Coturnix japonica: one gene and its partner. The protein of the gene in region 2 binds, or shares a complex with, the protein of the main gene of each other region. Links are inferred from orthologs where the notes say so. Each region holds a gene or a part of one and is shown on either strand. Other genes may lie near its edges.

The links. Proteins that work in one complex are often made in the same cells at the same time.
Region 1: the proteins of TAF8 (region 2) and TAF10 are in contact, whole or in part, in a crystal structure (PDB 4WV4), measured with the Homo sapiens proteins. The link is inferred for Coturnix japonica from reciprocal best matches to the Homo sapiens genes TAF8 and TAF10. Residues at the interface, in NP_612639.2 of Homo sapiens: Arg33, Thr36, Leu37, Val40, Ser43, Leu44, Leu45, Ala48, Gly49, Phe50, Glu51, Ser52, Ala53, Glu54, Ala56, Ser57, Thr60, Leu61, Met64, Leu65, Gln66, Tyr68, Ile69, Ser70, Ile72, Gly73, Arg74, Ala76, Lys77, Cys80; in NP_006275.1 of Homo sapiens: Pro115, Leu116, Phe119, Leu120, Leu123, Tyr126, Thr127, Thr129, Ile130, Pro131, Val134, Thr135, Tyr137, Tyr138, Leu139, Ala142, Gly143, Phe144, Glu145, Ser147, Asp148, Arg150, Ile151, Leu154, Ile155, Leu157, Ala158, Ala159, Gln160, Lys161.

What each region holds. Positions count from the first base shown.
Region 1 is NC_029516.1:173,986,097-173,990,178, forward strand, and holds TAF10 (transcription initiation factor TFIID subunit 10), read left to right. Parts: upstream 1-1,229; 5' UTR 1,230-1,272; coding exon 1,273-1,468; intron 1,469-1,706; coding exon 1,707-1,855; intron 1,856-1,947; coding exon 1,948-2,012; intron 2,013-2,100; coding exon 2,101-2,215; intron 2,216-3,534; coding exon 3,535-3,624; 3' UTR 3,625-3,702; downstream 3,703-4,082. Other genes in the region: TPP1 (tripeptidyl-peptidase 1), read left to right, coding at 89-209, 299-457, 700-837, 956-1,096. UniProt on the Homo sapiens protein: The TFIID basal transcription factor complex plays a major role in the initiation of RNA polymerase II (Pol II)-dependent transcription.
Region 2 is NC_029541.1:4,766,687-4,770,930, forward strand, and holds the start of TAF8 (transcription initiation factor TFIID subunit 8), read left to right. Parts: upstream 1-1,391; 5' UTR 1,392-1,415; coding exon 1,416-1,679; intron 1,680-2,633; coding exon 2,634-2,790; intron 2,791-3,093; coding exon 3,094-3,192; intron 3,193-3,411; coding exon 3,412-3,474; intron 3,475-3,824; coding exon 3,825-3,949; intron 3,950-4,244. UniProt on the Homo sapiens protein: The TFIID basal transcription factor complex plays a major role in the initiation of RNA polymerase II (Pol II)-dependent transcription.

The sequences.
Region 1 (4,082 bases), on a different chromosome or scaffold from region 2:
GGCCCCGGGCTCCTCGTGGCTGCGGGGCGGTGTGAGCCCCGGGGGGGGGTCGGGTTTGGGGGGGTCCGCAGCACCTGCCCGTCCTCAGCCCCTACGTGACCACGGTGGGCGGCACGTCCTTCAAGAACCCGTTCCTGGTGACGGAGGAGGTGACGGATTACATCAGCGGCGGCGGCTTCAGCAACGTCTTCCCCATGCCCGACTACCAGGTGCGGCCGGGGGCGGAGGGGCCGCGGGGGGGGCTCCCCGGTGCCGGCGCTGATCGGGCTGATGGAGCTGATGGAGCTGCCTCCCCCAGGCCGATGCGGTGCGGAGTTTCCTGCGCTCCGCCCCGAAGCTGCCGCCCGGCTCCTACTACAACAGCAGCGGCCGCGCTTACCCCGACCTGGCCGCGCTGTCGGACAATTACTGGGTGGTGACCAACCGGCTGCCGCTGCCCTGGGTGTCGGGCACGTCGGTGAGCGCGGGGCGGCGGGGCGCGGCTCGGGGCCGTCGGGTCCCGGTTCGGTGCCGTCGGGTCGCGATTCAGTGCCGTCGGGTCCCGGTTCGGTGCCGTCGGGTCGCGGTTCGGTGCCGTCGGGTCCCGTTCCGGTGCCGTCGGGTCCCGGTTCGGTGCCGTCGGGTCCCGTTCCGGTGCCGTCGTGTCGGTGCGCTCCGCCCGGCGCTGAGCCGTGTCCCCCGTTGCCCCGTTCGTTCCAGGCCTCGACGCCGGTGGTGGCGGGGCTGCTGGCGCTGATCAATGACCGCCGCCTGCAGGGCGGGCAGCCGCCGCTCGGCTTCATCAACCCCGCGTTGTACCGGCTGCGGGAGCGCGGACACGGCGCGGCGCTGTTCGACGTGAGCGGGGCGGGGGGCGGGGGGGGGTCCCGGGGGGTGCGGGGCGGGTCCGGTCCCAGCCGGGCTGTTCGGTCCCGTCCGGTCCGGTCGGGTTTTGCTGACCCCGCCCCGTCCCCAGGTGACCGTCGGCTGCCACGTGTCGTGTCTGGACGCTGCGGTTCAGGGCCGCGGTTTTTGCGCCGTTCCCGGTTGGGACGCGGTGACCGGGTGGGGGACGCCCAACTTCCCGCAGCTGCTGCGCGCGCTCACGGCGCCGTGACGCCAATAAAGGCCGCGATACGAACCGTGTGTGCGGGACCGACGGGACGGGCGGCCAATGGGGAGCGGGGACGGGAGCGGGGCGGCCAATGGGCAGCGGGAGGGGGCGGGGCCGAGGGGGCGTCGCGTCGCGCGCAGGCGCGTTGCGGAGCGGCCGGAGCCGTCGGGGGGGGCGACATGAGCTGCAGCAACGAGAGCGACCCCGGCACCGCGGTGCCCGCAGCGCCCGCAGCGCCCGGGACCACCGGGACCACCGGGGACAACAAGCACAGCCCGGCCGCGGGCGGCAGCGGCGTCCCCGGGGCGCCACCCAGTGCGGCAGGAGGAGCGGCCAGGGGAGCGGACGGGGGAGCGGCGGCGGGGAGGGGACCCGGTGAGTGCGGGGAGGGGAGAGCGGGACCGGGCCGTGATGGACCAGGCCGGGCTGGACCGGGCCGTGCGGTGCCGGGCCGTGATGTGCCAGGCCGTGAGGGACCGGACCGGGCCGTGCTGTACCGGGCCTGCCTGTGCTGTGCCGTGCTTTGCAGTGCCATACCGTGCGGTGCCGGGCCGTGCCGTGCTGTGCGGTACCGTGCGGTGCCGTGAGTCCCGCTGAGCGCCTCCTCCCGTAGCTCCCGTGTCGGCCGCGGCGCCGCCCGAAGGAGCGATGTCCAACGGCGTTTACGTGCCGCCCGGCGCCGCCAACGGGGAGGTGAAGCCGGTGGTGTCGGGGACGCCGCTCGTGGATTTCCTGCTGCAGCTGGAGGATTACACGCCCACGGTACGAGCGGCGCGGGGCGGGCGCTGAGGGCGGGCACCGGCACCGGGCACCGAGTGCTGAGCACCGGGCGCTGAGCGCGGCTCTCCCTGCAGATCCCGGACGCCGTCACCGGGTATTACCTGAACAGAGCGGGATTCGAGGCCTCCGACCCGCGCATGTGAGTGTAAAGGGCGGCCGGGGGGGGGGGGTGCGGAACGACCCCCGGTGCCGTATCCCCGCCCACCCGCCCGTTGTTGTGCCCGCAGCATCCGGCTGATCTCGTTGGCCGCACAGAAATTCATCTCTGACATCGCCAACGACGCGCTGCAGCACTGCAAGATGAAGGGAACGGCCTCGGGGAGCTCCCGCAACAAGAGCAAGGTGGGTGTGATGGGGGGCACTGCCAGGCATTGACCTGGGTCACAGAGTCACAGCGTGGCCTGGGTTGCACAGAACCACAGTGCTCATCCATCCCAACCCCCTGCTGTGTGCAGGGTCACCAACCAGCAGCCCAGGCTGCCCAGAGCCACATCCAGCCTGGCCTTGAATGCCTGCAGGGATGGGGCATCCACAGCCTCCTTGGGCAACCTGTGCCAGTGCGTCACCACCCTCTGGGGGAAAAACTTCCTCCTCAGATCCAACCTAAACCTCCCCTGTCTCACTTTCAAACCATTCCCCCTTGTCCTATCACTGCCCACCCTCACAAACAGCCGTTCCCCCTCCTGTTTATTCGCTCCCTTCAAGTACTGGATGCCCACAATGAGGTCTCCCCGCAGCCTTCTCTTCTCCAACCCAAACCAGCCCAGTTCCCTCATCCTTTCCTCATATCAGAGCTGCTCCAGCCCCTCTGCTCATCTCAGTGGCCTCCTCTGGACCCTCCAAGAGCTCCATGTCCTTCCTGTGCTGGAGGCCCCAGGCCTGGACTCAGCACTGAGATATGAGCTCACAAGAGCTGAGTAGAAGAGGACAATCCCCTCCCTGTCCCTGCTGGCCGCCCCTTTAAATGCAGCCCAGCACACAGTTGCCTTCCAGGCTGCAGGCACACACTGCTGCCTCATATCCAGCTTCTCACCCCCCAAGTCCTCTGCAGGGCTGCTCTCAAGGAGACTTTCCCCCAGTCTGTACACACACCTGGTGTTGCCCCAACCCAATGCATCACCCTGCACTTGTCCTTATTGAACCTCATGGGAGGCTGATGTGTGCTGACTAAATGGGAGGGAGCGTGGTGGGCAGGAGGTGGGCAGTGCTGTGTATGGAGATACTGCAGGGCCACCCAGCCCTGATGGCACCAAACTAACGCTGAGGGAAAAAGATAAAGGGAGGAAGCGTGTAGAAATAGCTTCTGGAATCCACACAGCCCCAATTGTGGCTTAGGGGCAGTGCAATAGATGCGCTGAGTAATGCTCAGTGCGTTTCTCTGCTGTGGAGGGCAAAGAGCAGATGCAGCTTTCAGGCACTTGGTGCTGGTTAATGCCCAGCCACTGGGCATCACACACACATGGACTGCTCCAATGAGGGTCAAAACCCCAACCAAGGGCTGAAGGCACGAGGTGTCTGTGCTGTGTTTGTGTGCTATGAGTGCTGTGTCTGTGCTGTGTTTGTGCTACAAGTGATGTATCTGTGCTGTGTCTGTGTGCTATGAGTGATGTATCTATCTGTGCTGTGTCTGTGCTGTGAGTGATGCTGCCCTTTGTCCCCAGGACAAGAAATACACTCTGACCATGGAGGACCTGACGCCCGCCCTGGCGGAATACGGCATCAATGTGAAGAAGCCGCACTACTTCACGTGAAAGCAGGGCTCGTTGCTGGGGACTTTTCTAGGGTTTGCTTCTGCTCCATTAAACCAATGGGTAGTTTTTTTTCTGGTGGAAAGACCCCCCGTTTCCTGCCGCCCTCCTGCTGTCAGTGCAGCAGCAGCATTTGGCCCACGGAGTTCTGCTCTGCCAGCACCAACAGAAGGTGATGGCTGAGGGCTGCACAGCAGGGAACTGCAGCTGCATCTCCTGGAGGGCTCAGCCTGCCCTGAGCTGCTGCAGGGCTGTGGGCATCGTGCAAACAGAAGCGCCCAGCTTCCTCTGTGCTTTCTTTCCCTGTAGCATGTCTCGTAAGAGGAAGGTTCTGGGGCTGTGACGGCTGCTGCAGCTGCAGCCAGGCTCCTCTGCCTCGCTCTGGGTTTGGCACAGAGCAGCTCCAGCGCCCAGGGCTCCATGTGCCAAGGGCAGCCCTTCTCCCAGCAGCCTATTGAGGT
Region 2 (4,244 bases):
TCACCCTCCACCTATGGACACGAACAGCCAGCATGGTTCTGCTCGCTTCCAGATTCCTTCCCTTCCACATCAGATCCCTGGCAACATCTTTCAGCACAGCCCTGAAGCTCTCCTTGTTTCACTTCACCCCTTTCCTCTTGGCTGGCCAGTCTCCTCCGGTGGCTGCGAGCAGCTGCTGCTTCACAGACACACAAGAAACCCCGACATCACTGAGCAGCCAGACCTTTATGGAAGCATTTCCCACTCCCACCCTGCCAGGCAAACGGAAGCCATGCATAACAGAATGATGTACCTGTGCCATAAAACAGGATGCAGCACCTGTGATTTTAGGGACTTCTGCACATATTTAGCTGAGGAAAATTCCACCAGGCTCTGGATTTTCAGTTTGTAACTGAGTTTAGAAGGGACTGCAGTGCTCTGGTTAGAACCCAAGGGCTCCAGCTGACACCACCACCAATGTTATGTTATGTACTGTAACATCAGCGGGTGCACTTTATCAGTTCTGAGAGCAGCTCACAAGGCATGGCAGTACTTATTGATGGGAAAAAACGTGCAGAGGAGCAAAGAGATTGTGTCTGGTTATTCAGCAGGCTGGATGCAGCCAGGACTGGAATCCAAAATAACACAGTGCTCTGCACCAATAACTAGAGCACCCAGCAGCCCTCACTGCAGGGCTTCCCCTGCTACCCCCTCCTCAGAGACACCCTGTGTACAAAGAAACAGCTTTGTTCTGAAGTGTATGATACTGTGGGATGGGGGAAAAGTATTCCCAAGAGTAAAACAAACAAACAAAAAACCCACAAAGCCAACGAAAACCAACCGGGCAGCACAGGGCTGGGATCTCATTTATCCAACAGCTCCCACGTGTGAATAAACCAAGTAATGCAGCCACCCAACATGAAGCCTGAGCCTGTTCTCAGCAGCTTCACTCGGCTGCTTTGAGCTCCCAGCTGCCACATCCCTCCATATAACGCACATCACTCCGCCCCACAATCAACCAGCAGGTCACAGCTCCACCACACACAGCGCTTCCATTCCCAGCTCCTTGTGCTCCCTCACACTCCGTTAATCACTGCCACCAATTCCAGCAGCCAGCACAGCACACACAGCCCCGAACACAGCGAGGGACCGACCCCGCCGGGCACAGCAGAGCTGGGTGCTGACACCGCCACAACAACGGCACCTTCACACACCGGCAGCTCAGGCCCAGGCCGTACTATGGCAGCAGCTCCCCGCTCCATCCACCCATTATGTGCCTCGTACCTTCACCATCCACCAGCTCCGCTGCCCGGTCCCGTCCCGCTCCTGGCTGTTGTTTACTCTCCACACGGCTCCGGCATCGCGGGGCGGGGCTGCAGGTTCTCGCAGCTCTCGGGGCATCGTGCAGCGCTGCCGGGCCGGGCCGCTGCCCCGCCATGGAGCCGCCGTTACCGGAGCTCATCGTCCCATCGTTGTTGTCCCATCGCCGTCCCATCGTTGTTGTCCCATTATCGTTGTCCCATCACCATCCCGTCGTTGTCCCGTCCCGGTCGCACCGCGGGGCTGTGGGGGATGTTGGAGCCGCCTACAGCCCCCACAGTGCAACGCGCGCCTCGCCGCACGGCCCCACCGCCCCGCACATGCGCACAGCGCTCTATGGCTCCAAGATGGCCGACACGGCGCCCGGCGGTTCCGGCACGGTAACGGCGGCTCCTCGTCGGGCCGCGGGGTCGTTGTGGGAACGGCCCCTCCGGGCGGAGCGGCGCGGCCTGCACCGGGAGCGGGACACTAACGGCTGCGGGCTGAGCGCGGCGGCTTTAAGGGGGAGCTGAACGGAGGGAGGCGCTGATTGGCTGCATGGCTGCGTGGGGGCGGGGCTTGGCGGCAAGCTGTGATTGGTCCGAGCTCTGATGCAGCGTTTAAAGGGACAGAGCGACTATGGGGGAACGTGTGTAAATATGGGGATATGAGTATGGACAGGCACTGCTTGTAGGGCGCTCCTAAGGTAAAGCCTCCTATTTATTCGCATGGAAGCTGCAGCAGGTACAGCACAATCATACTGTGTGATCAGGTGTTTGCACATCTGGAAAGCACTGCTGTTTAACACGGTCACCACCATTGCCCATATTGGCACTGGAGAAGAGCTGCATGCTGCACTCATACTGCTGGAGTGACCCACTGTTATCACTGGAACACGCCGCACTGTGCTCACAGCGGCTGCTCTGTCTCCAGAAGCATCTGCCCTCATCCAGGAACACAGTGATTCTGTGCTTCATTCACACTCCTTCATTACACACCGTTATGTCCAGCTGCTGCCACCTGTCACACAGCAATGTAATGTACACAATGTAATGTACACAATGTAATGTACACAATGTAATGTACACAATGCTGGCAGGAAGGTTCAGCCTTTACCCCGCCTCCAACATCTAACCCTGATGTCGACATCATGAAATAGGAGGCATTACTTTCAGAGCAGTCCTCATGTGTGTATGTCTGTACATGTGTGTCTGTGTAGGTGGGTCTGTACTGTGTGTAGGTAGGTGCTGTGTATGTACACCCGTGATGTGTGCAGGGACAATGTGTGAGCACAGAGCGAGTGCTGGCAGCTCGTCTGGGGCTCAGGTTCAGTGTTTTGGGGTCTGTGTCCACAGCGGTCGGGCAGCAAGCACACGACCACGCCAGCAGATAACTACTACCTGGCCCGAAGGAGGACACTGCAGGTGGTGGTCAGCTCCTTGCTCACTGAAGCCGGCTTTGAGAGCGCTGAGAAGGCTGCGGTGGAAACACTGACAGAGATGTTACAGAGCTGTGAGTGTCGGGTGCCACCAGATTTAGGGCAAAATCACCTTGAAATCGGTTCACATTTGCTTTCGCTCTTTCTGTTTTTCGTTTGTTTGTTTGGTTTTGTTTTAACTCTTTAACTCCCGGTGCTTTCCATGATGTTATGATGTGCAATAACAATAACAAAAATCATAAAACCATGACACTAGATTTGATCAAAAGTCAGGTGTTGTGCTGACACAAATGTGTGTTTGCTGCCTGAAATGAACATGGAATGTGAATAAAATAAAATGAACATGTAATGGTTGTTGGTGGTTTTTTCCCCTCCAGATATTTCTGAAATTGGAAGGAGTGCAAAGTCCTACTGTGAGCATACAGCCCGAACACAGCCCACGCTGTCTGACATAGTTGTTACTTTAGTGGAGATGGGTGAGTAGCTGACTCATCTCACTCATTCCACATACATACAGTGGGTGTTCTGTGTTGCCATGACAGTCTGTTCCTGGTGTAGTTGTGTGATGTCGGCTGTTCTGGGTTGCACACAGAGGCTCCAGTATCACTGCTGTTGATGTAGTGTGTATGCACACAGAGTACATTATTTTCTTTCTTCTTGGTGTGATTCCATTTTTCTCTTCTTCTGTATTTCAGGGTTCAATGTTGAAACACTTCCTGCATATGCAAAGCGCTCCCAGAGGATGGTGATCACTGCCCGTATGTGAGAAGTCCTTTTCTTGTGCAGGAAACCATTTGTCTTTTCTATCTGCTGGCATCCAGAGAGCTGCTGCTTTTCTCATGGATGGTGTAGTCCATTGCTCCGGGGCACTCAGTTTGTGTTAAAGATTCCTGTAATTATGATGTAGTAGGTGAAGGAGAGTGTCTGTCCTTTGCCAAACCTGTTGCTTTTGCTTCAGTATCCTCATTGCACATGAGAATCCTCAAGGTGGTTCTCCTTGTGTAGGAGGGGTCATGTAAGCCTTGTTCCCTTTTGGGATGCCAAATACAACCTGAAACTGTTGCTTGTGTCATATGCTCATGTAGTGCATGTGCTTTTTTAACCATAGCTCCTGTGACAAATCAGCCCGTGACTCCCAAAGCCCTGACAGCTGGACAGAACAAGCCACATCCATCCCACATCCCTGGCTATTTCCCTGAGTTTCCAGATCCTCACACCTACATCAAGACACCAGTGAGTGAAAAAAGACTTTTGTGCCATTTGGTTTCTGTCTGAAGTCAGTAATGTTAGGAAAGGTGCATGTGCATTCTTATTGTAGTGCTGTTCCTGAACATTGTTTCTGCTACCTTGGCACAATGCTTGTCATTTGCATATTGTACTTGCTCTAGTTTTATAGCTGATATCTGTAGCTGTTTGAAAACGTGCACATGTTGAAGGTCAGTGCTTGCCTGCATCCTATTAGTGTTTTGAACTTGATCTGTCTTCACTGAATCTAGTGACTGTACTTGTTTTGTCATCCCTGCTCTAC